3 linked regions of the Oryzias latipes genome follow. The protein of the gene in region 3 purifies or fractionates together with the protein of the main gene of each other region. This does not show direct contact. Links are inferred from orthologs where the notes say so. Each region holds a gene or a part of one and is shown on either strand. Other genes may lie near its edges.

What was found.
Region 1: the proteins of nop58 (region 3) and fbl purify together in Homo sapiens (affinity purification with mass spectrometry; 7 studies listed by BioGRID and IntAct, counting the BioPlex papers as one, with this or other methods). This does not show direct contact. The link is inferred for Oryzias latipes from reciprocal best matches to the Homo sapiens genes NOP58 and FBL.
Region 2: the proteins of nop58 (region 3) and snu13 fractionate together in Homo sapiens (co-fractionation; 3 studies listed by BioGRID and IntAct, with this or other methods). This does not show direct contact. The link is inferred for Oryzias latipes from reciprocal best matches to the Homo sapiens genes NOP58 and SNU13.

The regions. Positions count from the first base shown.
Region 1 is NC_019874.2:7,457,846-7,462,088, reverse strand, and holds the start of fbl (rRNA 2'-O-methyltransferase fibrillarin), read right to left. Parts: upstream 2,815-4,243; 5' UTR 2,696-2,814; coding exon 2,686-2,695; intron 1,724-2,685; coding exon 1,589-1,723; intron 1,514-1,588; coding exon 1,370-1,513; intron 1-1,369.
Region 2 is NC_019877.2:3,754,655-3,758,545, forward strand, and holds snu13 (NHP2-like protein 1), read right to left. Parts: upstream 2,565-3,891; 5' UTR 2,367-2,564; coding exon 2,364-2,366; intron 2,217-2,363; coding exon 2,096-2,216; intron 999-2,095; coding exon 736-998; 3' UTR 579-735; downstream 1-578.
Region 3 is NC_019860.2:15,369,961-15,374,098, forward strand, and holds the end of nop58 (nucleolar protein 58), read right to left. Parts: intron 3,937-4,138; coding exon 3,791-3,936; intron 3,033-3,790; exon of another isoform or gene 2,949-3,032; intron 2,878-2,948; coding exon 2,751-2,877; intron 2,722-2,750; exon of another isoform or gene 2,640-2,721; intron 2,554-2,639; coding exon 2,390-2,553; intron 2,298-2,389; coding exon 2,163-2,297; intron 1,571-2,162; coding exon 1,509-1,570; intron 1,431-1,508; coding exon 1,276-1,430; intron 1,200-1,275; coding exon 1,072-1,199; intron 999-1,071; coding exon 945-998; 3' UTR 567-944; downstream 1-566. UniProt on the Homo sapiens protein: Required for the biogenesis of box C/D snoRNAs such as U3, U8 and U14 snoRNAs. Part of the small subunit (SSU) processome, first precursor of the small eukaryotic ribosomal subunit.

The sequences.
Region 1 (4,243 bases), on a different chromosome or scaffold from region 3:
GTCATCTAACCCAATTTAACTGTGATGTCCACACACAGATCTGAAGAGGTTAAAGCCAAAGAGCTACCACAGACTGTTAAAGGGGCCGCCTGTGGTTGCAGACCCCTGTTCATTCCTCTAAAGACGTCACATTTACATTACCTTTAACTCAGCTAAGAAACAGAGCTGTTCAGCTCTTCACTATAGACCTGTAGAGTAGTAATGACTCACTTCAGAGGAACCATCCATGACAAACATCTGAAGCAAACTGACTTAACTCTCCTACGTCAGTTTCAGACTCTCACCACAGCAACATGACCTTTAACTCGAGGAAACCCTGAAACAGCACGAGTCCTGCCGTACAGAAACTAGTCCATGCATCTGTGATGGAACTTCCTGATGACTGGGCTGTTCCAGAACAGCTCTGAAAAGCCTTCAGCTCATCCAGACAACTGTAAGCAGAGCTTTGATGAAATTTGGTGGAAGACATCTTTCTGTTCAAACAGAACATTCTTTCTACGGAAACTTTAAATGTTCATGCTCCACGTACTCTCCAAAGACCCCAGTTAAAAAAAAAAAAAAAAGCCGGTTCTGTTTGGTGGTTTCTAGAACAACAGAACCAAGTCCATTTCATTTCAGGACAAAGCCTCCCTCAATGTTAAAAACAACTAGAGGATGGTTTGGGGGTAGTCGTGTCTTTCTGTCCGTTCAGACTGACCTGCTGCGTCTACATTTGAATGAGGATTCTCTGTCGTTTTCATCTTGTTTGCTTTTTCATGCGTGCATGATGAGCTTTGGGTGAAGAGTAACCCTGAATTTACACTGCTCCCTCTGCAGTGTGCCGCCGTCGCGCTGTTTGAGGAGTTTGTTTCAAGACCCTCCCCCTGGAGGAGTGGATTGGCCTTTCAACCCCGTGTCTCTTTGCTCATCCAATACTTAAACGATCAAACCCCGTACCCTCCTCTTCCTCACTGAGTCCTTGTAAAATACACATTTTGTGTCATACATGTGTTTTTTAACCTCCACAATTAAACTTTCCTCGTCCGTGGTGGTGTTAGCGGCGGTGTTGACGTGCGTCATCATGTGAACACGTCACTGTAAATATGAAGTCTTAGAAAGTTTTATTTTGAAAATACAACAGAAGATTTTATCTTTAAACCCGGATCCGTTTCCCGGCTTTTAGGGACGAATTTGAAGCGTCGATTGGCAGAAAATAGAACTGCTGCGTAAAGCCTGGGTTGTGGAGGGACGGACATGTGACGGAGACGGTGTAAACATTCTGATTGGCACATTTCTTGTGTCACCACATCGCAGACGCACCGCAGGTAGAAATCAGCTTTTAGACGCCTGTTTAAAATGGAAAAGATCATCATCAGGAGTCCATAAGTACCTTCATGTCTGTGCGGCTCTATCACCACCTTCTTCCCTCCTCCAAACCCTCCACGGCCTCCTCTCCCTCCTCGTCCTCTTGGGGTTCCTCTGCCGCCCCCGCGTCCTCGAAACCCTCCACCGTCGGGGGACCGGAATCCTCCACCTAAAAAGAGGCTTTTGTGAGTAACAGATCCTTCTGCTGGCTGTCTACGGAACGGAACTACGGCGCCGTTCTTACCTCGTCCACCTCTGAACCCGCCTCTTCCTCCACGGTCACCGAACCCCCCTCTTCCTCCTCGGTCACTGAACCCCCCTCGTCCTCCACCCCATCCTCCTCCTCCTCTTCCTCCTCTGTCTCCACGGGGACTGAATCCTGAAACACACAACACATGAAAGATTGCAGTCAGGTGGTCTCACTAACTCCACGCCTACAGTCCCGCCTACAACTCAGAGGTGAATTTTTAATGAACTCCTGCTGCTCTGCAGGAACTATGTCCTAGGAAACAACAGTTTATGGATCTTGCCTGAAAACGACAAAATCAGAATTAAAAGACCACTGGGAACACTTTGAAAATAGATCCAATGATGATCGTAGTGGGACTTGAAACACTTTGGATTTCGAATGGAGGGTGGGGCCTTGGTCCTGCCCAAAAGTCAACACCTGTGGGGGACTTAACTCTGTCCCCCCCTCACTTTATGTTTCAGTCCAACCAGTGAAGTCAGAGATCGTCCAATTCGTCTAGATTGTATACAAAGTTTAACTATATTGTTTGAGATAGGAGTTTGGAGACTTATTTTAAATGAATAATTAAAATTGCCCCAAATTGGGGGCGTGGTTTTCTGCCTGCCGTGACCAATCATGAGCTGTAAAGAGGGCCAGTGGCTGTTCATAAACAAAATCTCTCTTTTTTTTTTTCAAACAAGAGTCATTAGAGACAACACAGCGACGTCCTTAAAAAAAAGGTAATCTAATCCTAATAAAAATCACGTGACCGCAGACTTCGTGGTTTGGTTTCGGGGAGAATCTTAGCTTTTGGGTTCGGAATGGAGAGTTTGTCCTTTCCGTCGTTCTGACCCATAACATTCACGGTTCGGGAGTATTAGCGAGAAGCCCCCCCACCAAAACACGAACCATCTGAATAAAATTTAGGGGCTTCGTAGACGCCGCTGCCGAGCATGATGGGAAATCGGTTTGATTATTACCAACATGTAACTTATCGGCGCACGAGGCAACTTCTGTTGTTACCCCCCTCCTTCCCTAACGCAAAAAATGCTTTATTTCGGAGCTGAGATATTGACATTATAGATACATCCGGGCGGAGCTTACGATATTACCTGGCTTCATGATAGCTTTAAGAACCGGGAAAGTTGACCTCTGATTCTTCGAACCGTCCGGGTCCAACCGCGCGTGCGAGCTGCGTGGCCACGTGCGCTTCTTATTCTTTGCAGCAGGGAACGACTTCCGTTTTCAAACGAAGTCGGGGCGTTCCGCCGCTCTGTTCCAGAGGTGCTGCCCCCTGTAGCTCTGGACATGTCTCTGCACAGACTACCCCCGCTTAGAATAAAAAGTCCAACAAAAATAAAGTGTCTAGGAGAGATGGCAGTGGAGCTTTTGACTGAGTTGTTCAACAGGATGTTAGAATGTGAGAAGATGCCTAAGGAATGGAGAAGTGTGATGGTGCCCATTTAAAAAAAAGGCAGGTGTAAAGTGTTTTGGCAACTAAAATATTTAGTTTTGTTTATGCTCAAAATACATACGTAAACATTCATTCGTTCATTTTCTAATCTGTTTTTTCCCTTTCGGGGTCACAGGGCTGCCAGAGCCTATCCCAGCCACTTGCAGGCGAAGGCAGGGTACAACCCTGGACAGGTCGCAAGTCTATCGCAGGGCCACAATCACACACCCATGCATCCTAGGGACAATTTCGAGTAACCAATTAACCTATGAAGCATGTTTTTGGAGTCCCCGTAGAAAATCCATGCATGCACAGGGAGAACATGCAAACTCCACACAGAAAGGTCCCCCACTGATGTTCTGTTTCAGGTCCCCCAGCCGGGACTTGAACTGGGAGCTTTCTTGCTGTGAGGAAAGAGCCTTTCTTTGGATTGTCAGCATAGAGGGGGCAGCGTCATTCACAGTAGTTCATTGGGCCCTGTGACTGTAGTATAGGGGTTCGCTCAAATATTATGTATGTAAATAAAGCATAGCCACATTAAAGATTCTCCACCCTGTCATGCTGCCTCATCACACTCTATTGTTTTTGGAAATAATTCGTTTTTTCCCCCCTTTATTTTTGAAGCACCATTCAGGCTCCTGAACTGTTTAAAGGTACTTGAGAATTTACTTTAATGTAGAAAAATAAACATTTATTTATTTCCTAAATCATACTTTTTTGGTTAAGGCACAGTCATTCCATTTTTTTTCTTGTTCTGAAAATTATTTTGTTGTCAAAATACTTGTTGACTGTTCCCTTTATATATTTGAAGTTACCTAAATAAAAGCACTATGAATTTGCTTGGGTAAAATCAACTTATATATATATTATTAACATTGTGATCATTAAATAAACTAAATTTTACAATTATTTTTTACAACGAAAGACGTATTGAAATTCTGGTAGAGTTTTTTCAAGTCATATTTAAAAAAAGAAAGAAAATGTGTTCCGGTTAAATATCACAATACATATCGTATTGTGGGACGAGTATTGGGATAAGTATCTTATAGGCAGACTCTTGCCAATACACACCCCTACGTCGCAGTGACTGACATTTAGGAATTTATACGTTCAGTTTGTTGAATAATAACCAAGCAAAATCAGAAAAGGGCTGGTTTATACTCGTTCATACTGATGTCAGCTGTTTTTGATCGCAACTGTCCGATGGACTTCAGAGT
Region 2 (3,891 bases), on a different chromosome or scaffold from region 3:
AAAAGGACGATGTCGCCTTATTATAAACAATCTTTACGAATTTACAAAAATAAAACCACAAATTGCATATGTATTCATTTTAAAATTATTTTAATTTTAGTAATTTTATTAATCGCATCTTTAGTTTTACTGTGTTGAAAGATGAAATTCTGTTCACTGAACAAAGTTTATGTAAAAAAATAACCTTATTTCTGACAATTTCAGAAATGAGATAAAGGTAAAACGTTCTAAATGTTTTTTAAATAAATTGTAAGAAAAAAATTGTTTAGACCCAAAATTCTGTTTTTAAAATGAAAACAATGTATTGCAAAGCACTACTGGATTACACTTTGAATTAATTCTTTAATACTCATTTATTTGGTAAACATTTAACTTTGTACATTGTAGAGACGTATCTTCTAGAGTCCTTCAGTTTCAGACACTTGTTTTAAATTACATTTCTAACTGGATGAGATGCTTGGAAAAAAATGTTTAATTTCTATGATGTTTTTCTGTCTTCCATTTAAAGTCTCCTTGGTCTCCACTACTTCTGCATAAAGTAAACACTTCTTAAAGGGAAAAAAAATAAAACACAGGAATTACATTAATAAAAAATGTTTATTAGGAAATGATGTTGGTTTTGGACACTGATAGAAGCAAAGCTGCTATGATCACCAAAAAAATAAAAAATAAACACCTAAAAGTATTTTGTTAAAGTAAATAAACTCAAATGAGAACAGAAAATGAGCACAGAGATCACACCAGCAGTCTCTCGATTGCCATTTGGACCGACTGGATCTGCGGCTTGAGCTGGGATCCTTCCTTTATAGTGACGGAGGTGGCGATGACGGGACGCGACACGCCGCAGGCCCGGCCCAGCGCCTGCTTGGAGCGCACAAACACGTACGGGACGTTCTTGTCCTCGCAGAGCAGCGGCAGGTGGAGGATGATCTCCAGCGGCTCAGCGTCAGCAGCCATCACAATGAACTCCGCGATGCCTCTGTTCAGGGTTTTGGTCGCTGTGGAGGAGAGAGCAGAGTCGCCTCGCTGTCAGAACACAGGAAAATGTAAACAATATTAACAATAATAATATTACTCCAAACCCTTGGAAGGTTTGATGATATAAAGTGTCAGAATATAAGATGACATACAAACATTTTTTTTTATATCAGGATGCTTAACTATGAAGCAAAACGAAGACAAAATGGCGTTTTTCAAATATCTGGACAGCATCTAGAATCGCTTGGATTCATCTAGATCCTACAAATATTTGGCTTGTTCATTTTTTTTATTACCTCAGCTTTAAATTGACTGTTTATGAATAAAATGCATTTATTTGAAGCTTTTTTTAAACCAGAAAGTCCTGTTTAACACAGTTATGCAACCTTAATATCTCCTACTGATCGATTTTGTAGAAAGAATTAAAGAAATACGAATGAAATTCTGTTTCAATTGGAAAAAAGTGACAACAATTCATCTATGGATTAATTTCCACTTAAACATTTGACTTATTGAAAAATATTTGTGCAAAAACAGTTTTTTTATTGAATAGTTTATTAAATATTTTATACTTGTTTTCAGCTGTGAACAGCAGTTATGAATAAAAGGAGTTTAAAGCTAAACAGAAATGGAAATTTGCTATAAAAAATGTCATTTAACTCATTTTACTTTAGAATCAGTGTTTTAGCAGAGATGCAGCCCTGCATTCTCCAGCTTAGAGGGCTGTTTTGAATTTACAGCAGACTTTATGGGTTTTTTTTAGAAACACATTGGAGGTTAGAGTGAAGAGGGTCAACCTGCCAAAATAAAAGTTGCTTTCACAGGTAAGAAGCCTCCTCAGGATTTTTGCTCTGGTGAAAAATGTCTGCTGAAACACCAGATTCTTCTTCAACTCTTTCACGCTATCTACTCTTTCTGGTTTAGGTACATTAATCATAGGCTTTAAATATTGGGTGATTTTTACCGGAAGTGAGAGAATCAAGCCTACTAAGCGCTTTATTTTATTTCGTTTCATCATGATGTTTCACGAATTTTGTCGTTAATACAGATAAAGACTGCGATAAATCCCAAGAATATTACACCGATCAGCTAAATATTTCTCCTTTAATTCCCTTACCTTCGTTGGCCCCCTTCCTCAGCTGCTTGTAGTTGGAGGCTTGCTGCACCAAATCCAAAATAGTTTTGGTCAACGTGGCGTCGGCCAGCGGGTAAGCCTTTGGGTTAACCTCAGGTTCTGACTGTTGACAAAAAATAATAATAATAATGAAACACAATAATTACTTTAAATTTAGAATAGCCAGATTACAGCACCCCGCGTGCTGTTATCAGATGCTAATAGCTAGCGGCTTTCGTTAGCTTGCTAGCTCAAGACAAACTACACTCACCATTTTGATTTTCTTTGATATTCCGGCCCTCTCGGCGAAATGCTTCACGGAGGACTAATTCCTTTAACGGGATCGAAATAAGTATAGCGAACGCCAAAAGTGGTAAATTGCGTCTCAAAACCTTCCAAAGGCTGCAGCTCGTGCAAACGTTTACCCCACGTGTGTAGGTCTGCACATGCGCAATATGCACATCAGTAAAAGAAAAATGGTTCGCCCTCTTGAGGTCATACTTTTAACCATTGAACTGTTATTTAACCAGTTTTAGCTTTTAAATATTTACAATAATTAAAATATGATGATGAGTTAAATGAAAGTGATAGTTTTCTAGTTTACAAGAATTTCAACTTATTTTACTTGTGACAGCAGCTGCAGTTCCTTTCAAAATAAAATACCCCCTACACAGATCGGTTGTAGCAGATAAACAGATTCCGAGTTTACAAATAGAGTTAAAACTGCTAGACAGATGCACCCATAATTCGTTTTCTCATTTTACTATTGAATATAAACATGACAACATTGGGGCAAAATCCACTTTTTTTTAACCTGAACATCTGTTTGCAATTCTATACTTTAATTTTGCTTCTGAATAGCATCTAGTCATTGTTGATCAACAGAAATAAGGACTGTTGCTTTATGTGCATCATTTTGCTCAGTTTTCTAAATTTAAAAAATTATAAAACACAACTGTCAACTAAAAGAAATGAACCAAAACCACAAATCCATTATTTATGTTAGTATTATCATTAGCATTTTTTCTTCAAAACCAAAGAGCCACAATGAAAGATTATAAGAGCCACCTCGGCTTGCAGATGATATCCCTATGTTAAATAAATTAAAAATTGAGAGCACAATTTATGTAGAATCCAGATAATGTTGTGTTTGCTCTGAAAAAAATAAGTTACTTCTTTTTATTTTATTTTTCAAATAACAGAGTAAAACTTTAATACTAAAGCACTTTTCATATACCAGCATCATTATTATTATAACGCTCTTCTTTCTGGTGCTAAGAAAAAATACAATTGATTTTAAACGGCACACATCTTAACCACAAGCAGACAGTGGAGTTTTTTTTTTTTAGGAAAAAACCCTCAAAACTCATCTTTTCCACTTTGCTCTTAAGTAGTTTTTACATGTTTGAATATGTGTGTGGGCTATTATTCTTGTTTACAATTTATTTATTTAATGTAAATCACTCTGAAGTGTTTGTAACAAGAAAAATGCTCCATAAATAAAGTTGAATTTGAATTTTAAATACTTCTTCTCCTGAATGGAAACATCCTTTCATTGTTGTGTGATGTGTTTCGTGATGAAATTGTGAAATTGTTCAATTATCGCAAAATTAGATATTTTTGTTAAGAAAATAAACCTATTTACACGAGCAAAATGTCCCGTAAATTAGTAAATTTGAATGTCATTCTCTGTTCTTAGTTTTTAAATTAGTATCTCCAGCATGACCGCTTTTACTATCGTCTCTAACCTAAAAACTTAAATCCTGCAGCTGTTAAATTAGGAGACCCAACTCCAAATT
Region 3 (4,138 bases):
GGGTATTTAATTCAGGCGAACCTTTTTGGTCACAGATCTGCTCAAACACCTTTAGACTGACCAAAAGTCCTAACCTGCAGCTTAATCTGTTTAAAACTCTTCATAGGACTCACTTACACAAGACCAAGGATGTTCATGATGGGCCAAAGAGAATCAGACACTTGTGGGTTTTGTAATAACACCCTGGATGATTACCCGCATGCACTGTGGCTCTGCCGTCCACTTTCTCCACAGAGCTAGCAGGGTTTGGCCAAAAAGCTTTGCAAAAGTTTGGTTGTGGGCGAAACACAGGTTGCTGAGCTCGACTCTCGGATGACGTCACCACATTGAGTGAGAGGCGGGGCTTCAGAGATCAAGTTGTCTCTAATTTCTTGATTGGAAACAAGCTCAGGAATATAACTAATATTTATAAAAAAAAAGTGTTCTTTTGTGTGGGAAGTAATATCATATACAGATTTTTTTTTTATTTTACTCTAAAAGGCTTAAGAATTGTATGGTATTGGCTCTATAGCACAGAATGTGGGCATTAAACGTGACTTCTGTAACTGAATGCAAATCACAACATCTACAAGTTTGTAATAATTTTTATTCAATCGTCCATCTTGAGTCCAGATTTAGCTTCGTCTGGCTCCAAAAATAAACTTCAATCAATAATTGGAAAGAAAGGTTAACTTTACAGCAAGACGTTTGTTCGTCCATCCTTTTTTTTTTCAACATTGGAAATGTTTCCTCTAAGACACAGATTTAAAATCCCTTTTCAAAGAGACAAAAATATAAAATGGTGTCAAAGAAAGAACGGACAAACAGGAACTTTCTTTTTGTTGTGTCTAAAATTAAACATTCTGTAGTATAATGGAACAATGCAGATGATACCTTCTATGGGTAAAAAACAAAACAAAATTAGAGACATATCTAAAATAAATATATACACTGGCTCCATCTCCTTATTCGTCATCTTCCTCCTTCTTTTTCTTCTTCTTCTTCTTTTTCTCTGTTGACTGAAGAGTAAATGTGAGCAGTTAGAACAGGATTCCAGATTTTGCCCCCACAAACGTTTGGCCTAAGGCTCACCTCCATTACTGCCACCTCCTCTTCCTCCTCCTTTAGCTCTTCAGCTGGTTCCTCCACTGCTTTCTTGTCCTTTTTCTTCTTCTTTTTCTTGGGCGTCTCCGGTTCGGCTGAAGTTTCAGGCGTTTCTTCTGGAACACACATGGTCAAACTTGAGCGTCGTGAACATCTCAACCCCCCCGCGGCGTCCCTTCATCACTTGCTCACCTTGAACTTGGGGCTCTTTCTTTGGCTTCTTGGACTTCATCCCCGATGTGGTGGGCTCCTCTGCAGCCTCCTGCTGCTCCACCTCCTCGAATTTCCTCTTCTTTGAGGTGGAGGGGATGGTGGAGTCTCCAGATGGATCGTAAATTTTCACCTCGCTGAAAACAAATCAACACATGTCGCACAAACGTGCAGAAGTAAAGGATCCCTGCAGAGAGGAGTGCTCTGCTCCTAACCTCTTGTGTTGGTATTTGTCAGCCCTCGCCATGGCTTTGCCAGAACCGCTGATTTTACGGATCTGAAATGGAAGATTTGGTTATAAGTAACTGAGATTATGGCATCAAAATGGTGTTAAAATAGAAGACGTTTTAAAAAAATATATATATTCAAGTCATGATTCCAATAATTCACAATTTAGATTCTAATCATCTTTGGTACCTTCTACGGCATATAAAGTTATAAATAAAGTTTGTAGAGTTTGAATGGCGTTGGCACGACGAGCGAGCAAAAGCAGCTCATTTAATTTAAATTTTTACTGGCACATTGTAAAAATGTAATACACGGATCAATCCTGGATCAAGGTGAGCAAAACGATAGGTCATGCAATATGAACATATTAGGAATGTGGGCGTGGCTAACAAAAAACATCTGCTTCCAAGAATATCCAAACATTGACTTAAGCCGACTCTGATGAAAATTACACCAATCTGTTCGGCGGCCCCAGGGGACCGAAACATTAAATGATTGCTATGGCGACAAACCGGCAGAAAAGCGTCCATTTTGAAAAAAAAAAAAAAGGGACAGCCACTTAAAATAAAATAATAATAAAAAATTCGAACTTTTAAAATATAGAAATGAAATGGCAGGAAATCCTGAAATCTTTTACGTACCCCCCTGTCCTCCAGCTGCCGGAGTCTGGCCTCCAGCTTGGCTCGGTTCTCGATTCCCATTTCGGCGTTCGTGTCTTCTCCCAGAGCGTCGTAGCGAATAGCCAGCGACGCTTTTGCAGCGAGCATTCTGGAGATCTGCAGAGGAGGTGAAAGGATTGTTCAATTTTTTTTTATTCTTGATGGTGATCAGTCATCATTTATCCCTCCCTCGGTTCTCCGGAACATACTTTGCCCTTGTTCTTGGCAGTGGTCTGTCCCACTAGGGAGGCGTGGTAAATGAGACCATATTTGGGCGTATCTTTGCGGGTCTTCAGAGCTCTGAAAAGAGCTTTCTCTGCGCCCAGGATCTGCACCGTGGAGGCCGGATGCTTGGCCAGATTCAGAAGTGAACCTGAACACGAAAGAGTTAAAAAATAAAATATTAAGAGTGGCAAATATGATCTGAACTTGGTGTTGAGGAGAAAATAGCCTAAAGAATATGAGCTCAGAAGAGGTAGTGACTTAAAACCGTCATCAGATTCAGGAAAACGACGTTTTGTCCGCATCATCATTGCCCGCCTTGTTCCCTCTCTGCTGCACAAAACCTACCGGCATGCGAGATGAGCCGGGCGCCAACCAGCTCGCCCACCATCACCGTCAAGTTGGGAGCGATGGCCGTCATCCGGTTCTTCAGGTAATCGTAGAGCTGTGCGCGGTAATCCGAGATCTCGATCACCTGGGGAGGAAGCAGATCCGTTTGAAGGTCGCGCAGGAGACAAACGCTTTGGCGCCGCGGCGAGCATCACGTGACAGTTCAGATGAGGTAGTGACTGAAAACCCACACGGGGATATTCAGGATGAAGACAACTGTCGACATCATCAGCACTGCCACTGCTACTCCACAAACCTTTGAAGTCAGACCTATCAGCAAAAAGACTCTTCTTTGGGATCAGACAGATCGTTTCCGATTCAATTTACTTGAGATTTTCAATAGAGTAGTTCCATTTATTTGCAGACAAAACATGCCCAATAAAACCCAAAAATGTTTAGTTTTGGATGCATTCAATGCTTATCCAGAAAAATCATTTTAGTGAATTGTGAGAAACTTTCATGCGAAGATCTTCTTGAATGCATAAACTCCTTCAGGCTACTGGAAAATGTTCGACTCGACTTTGTACTTCAGCTTTTTTGTTAAGTTAATTTTTAAATAATAATCTGTGTCATGCTTAATCAAAATAAAGCTTCAATTCCACAAAAAAAAAAAAAACTTCTTTGCTTTTTGAGACATGAATGCAGAGAACATTAAGCTACAACGATTATTTAGACCTAACAATTTAGGAGACTATAAGTTCCAATCTGGACTCAGTTTTTAATTTTCATTTAACAATTTGCAGTTGAAGTTGATTATTTAGAATTTACCATGTAATGCTAATATTTTTGCTCTTTTCCACACCAAATTTGATCTGAGGACGCACCACCATCTACAAATATTTTTTCTTTCCTTTATCCTTAAATCCTTGGCCGACGTTTTAAAACATAGAGCTGATTGCAATTTTGTTAACATTTCAAAATTAATAAACTACAACAAAAATACGGCAACGTAGCGCCCAGCACAGACACCAGCATGCGTTCCATCAAGGAGAACAGACCTGATCGCAGAGATGTCGAATGTTGGCGATGTCCTGCTCCGACACTTCTGTTCCCATGGAGATTTCAGCGGCCAGCTTGACCTCTGCCTCCACCTCTTCTGGAAGGATCTCCGATAGATCGGTGGTCGCCACGTTTGTGCGGTCGCCTGCAGAGAGGAGGGACCAGCGTCAGCTTTCAATAACCATGAAGGGATTGTTTTTTCTTTTCTTTTTGTTTTTAAAAAGAGAAACGTTTAAATTGTCTGTCTCAACACTGGATTCTGTGATAAAGAGAATCACTGAAAACATCTGCAACAGTTGCAAAAAACAAACAAAACTGCACAAATTCCCATAGATTCACACTCTAGT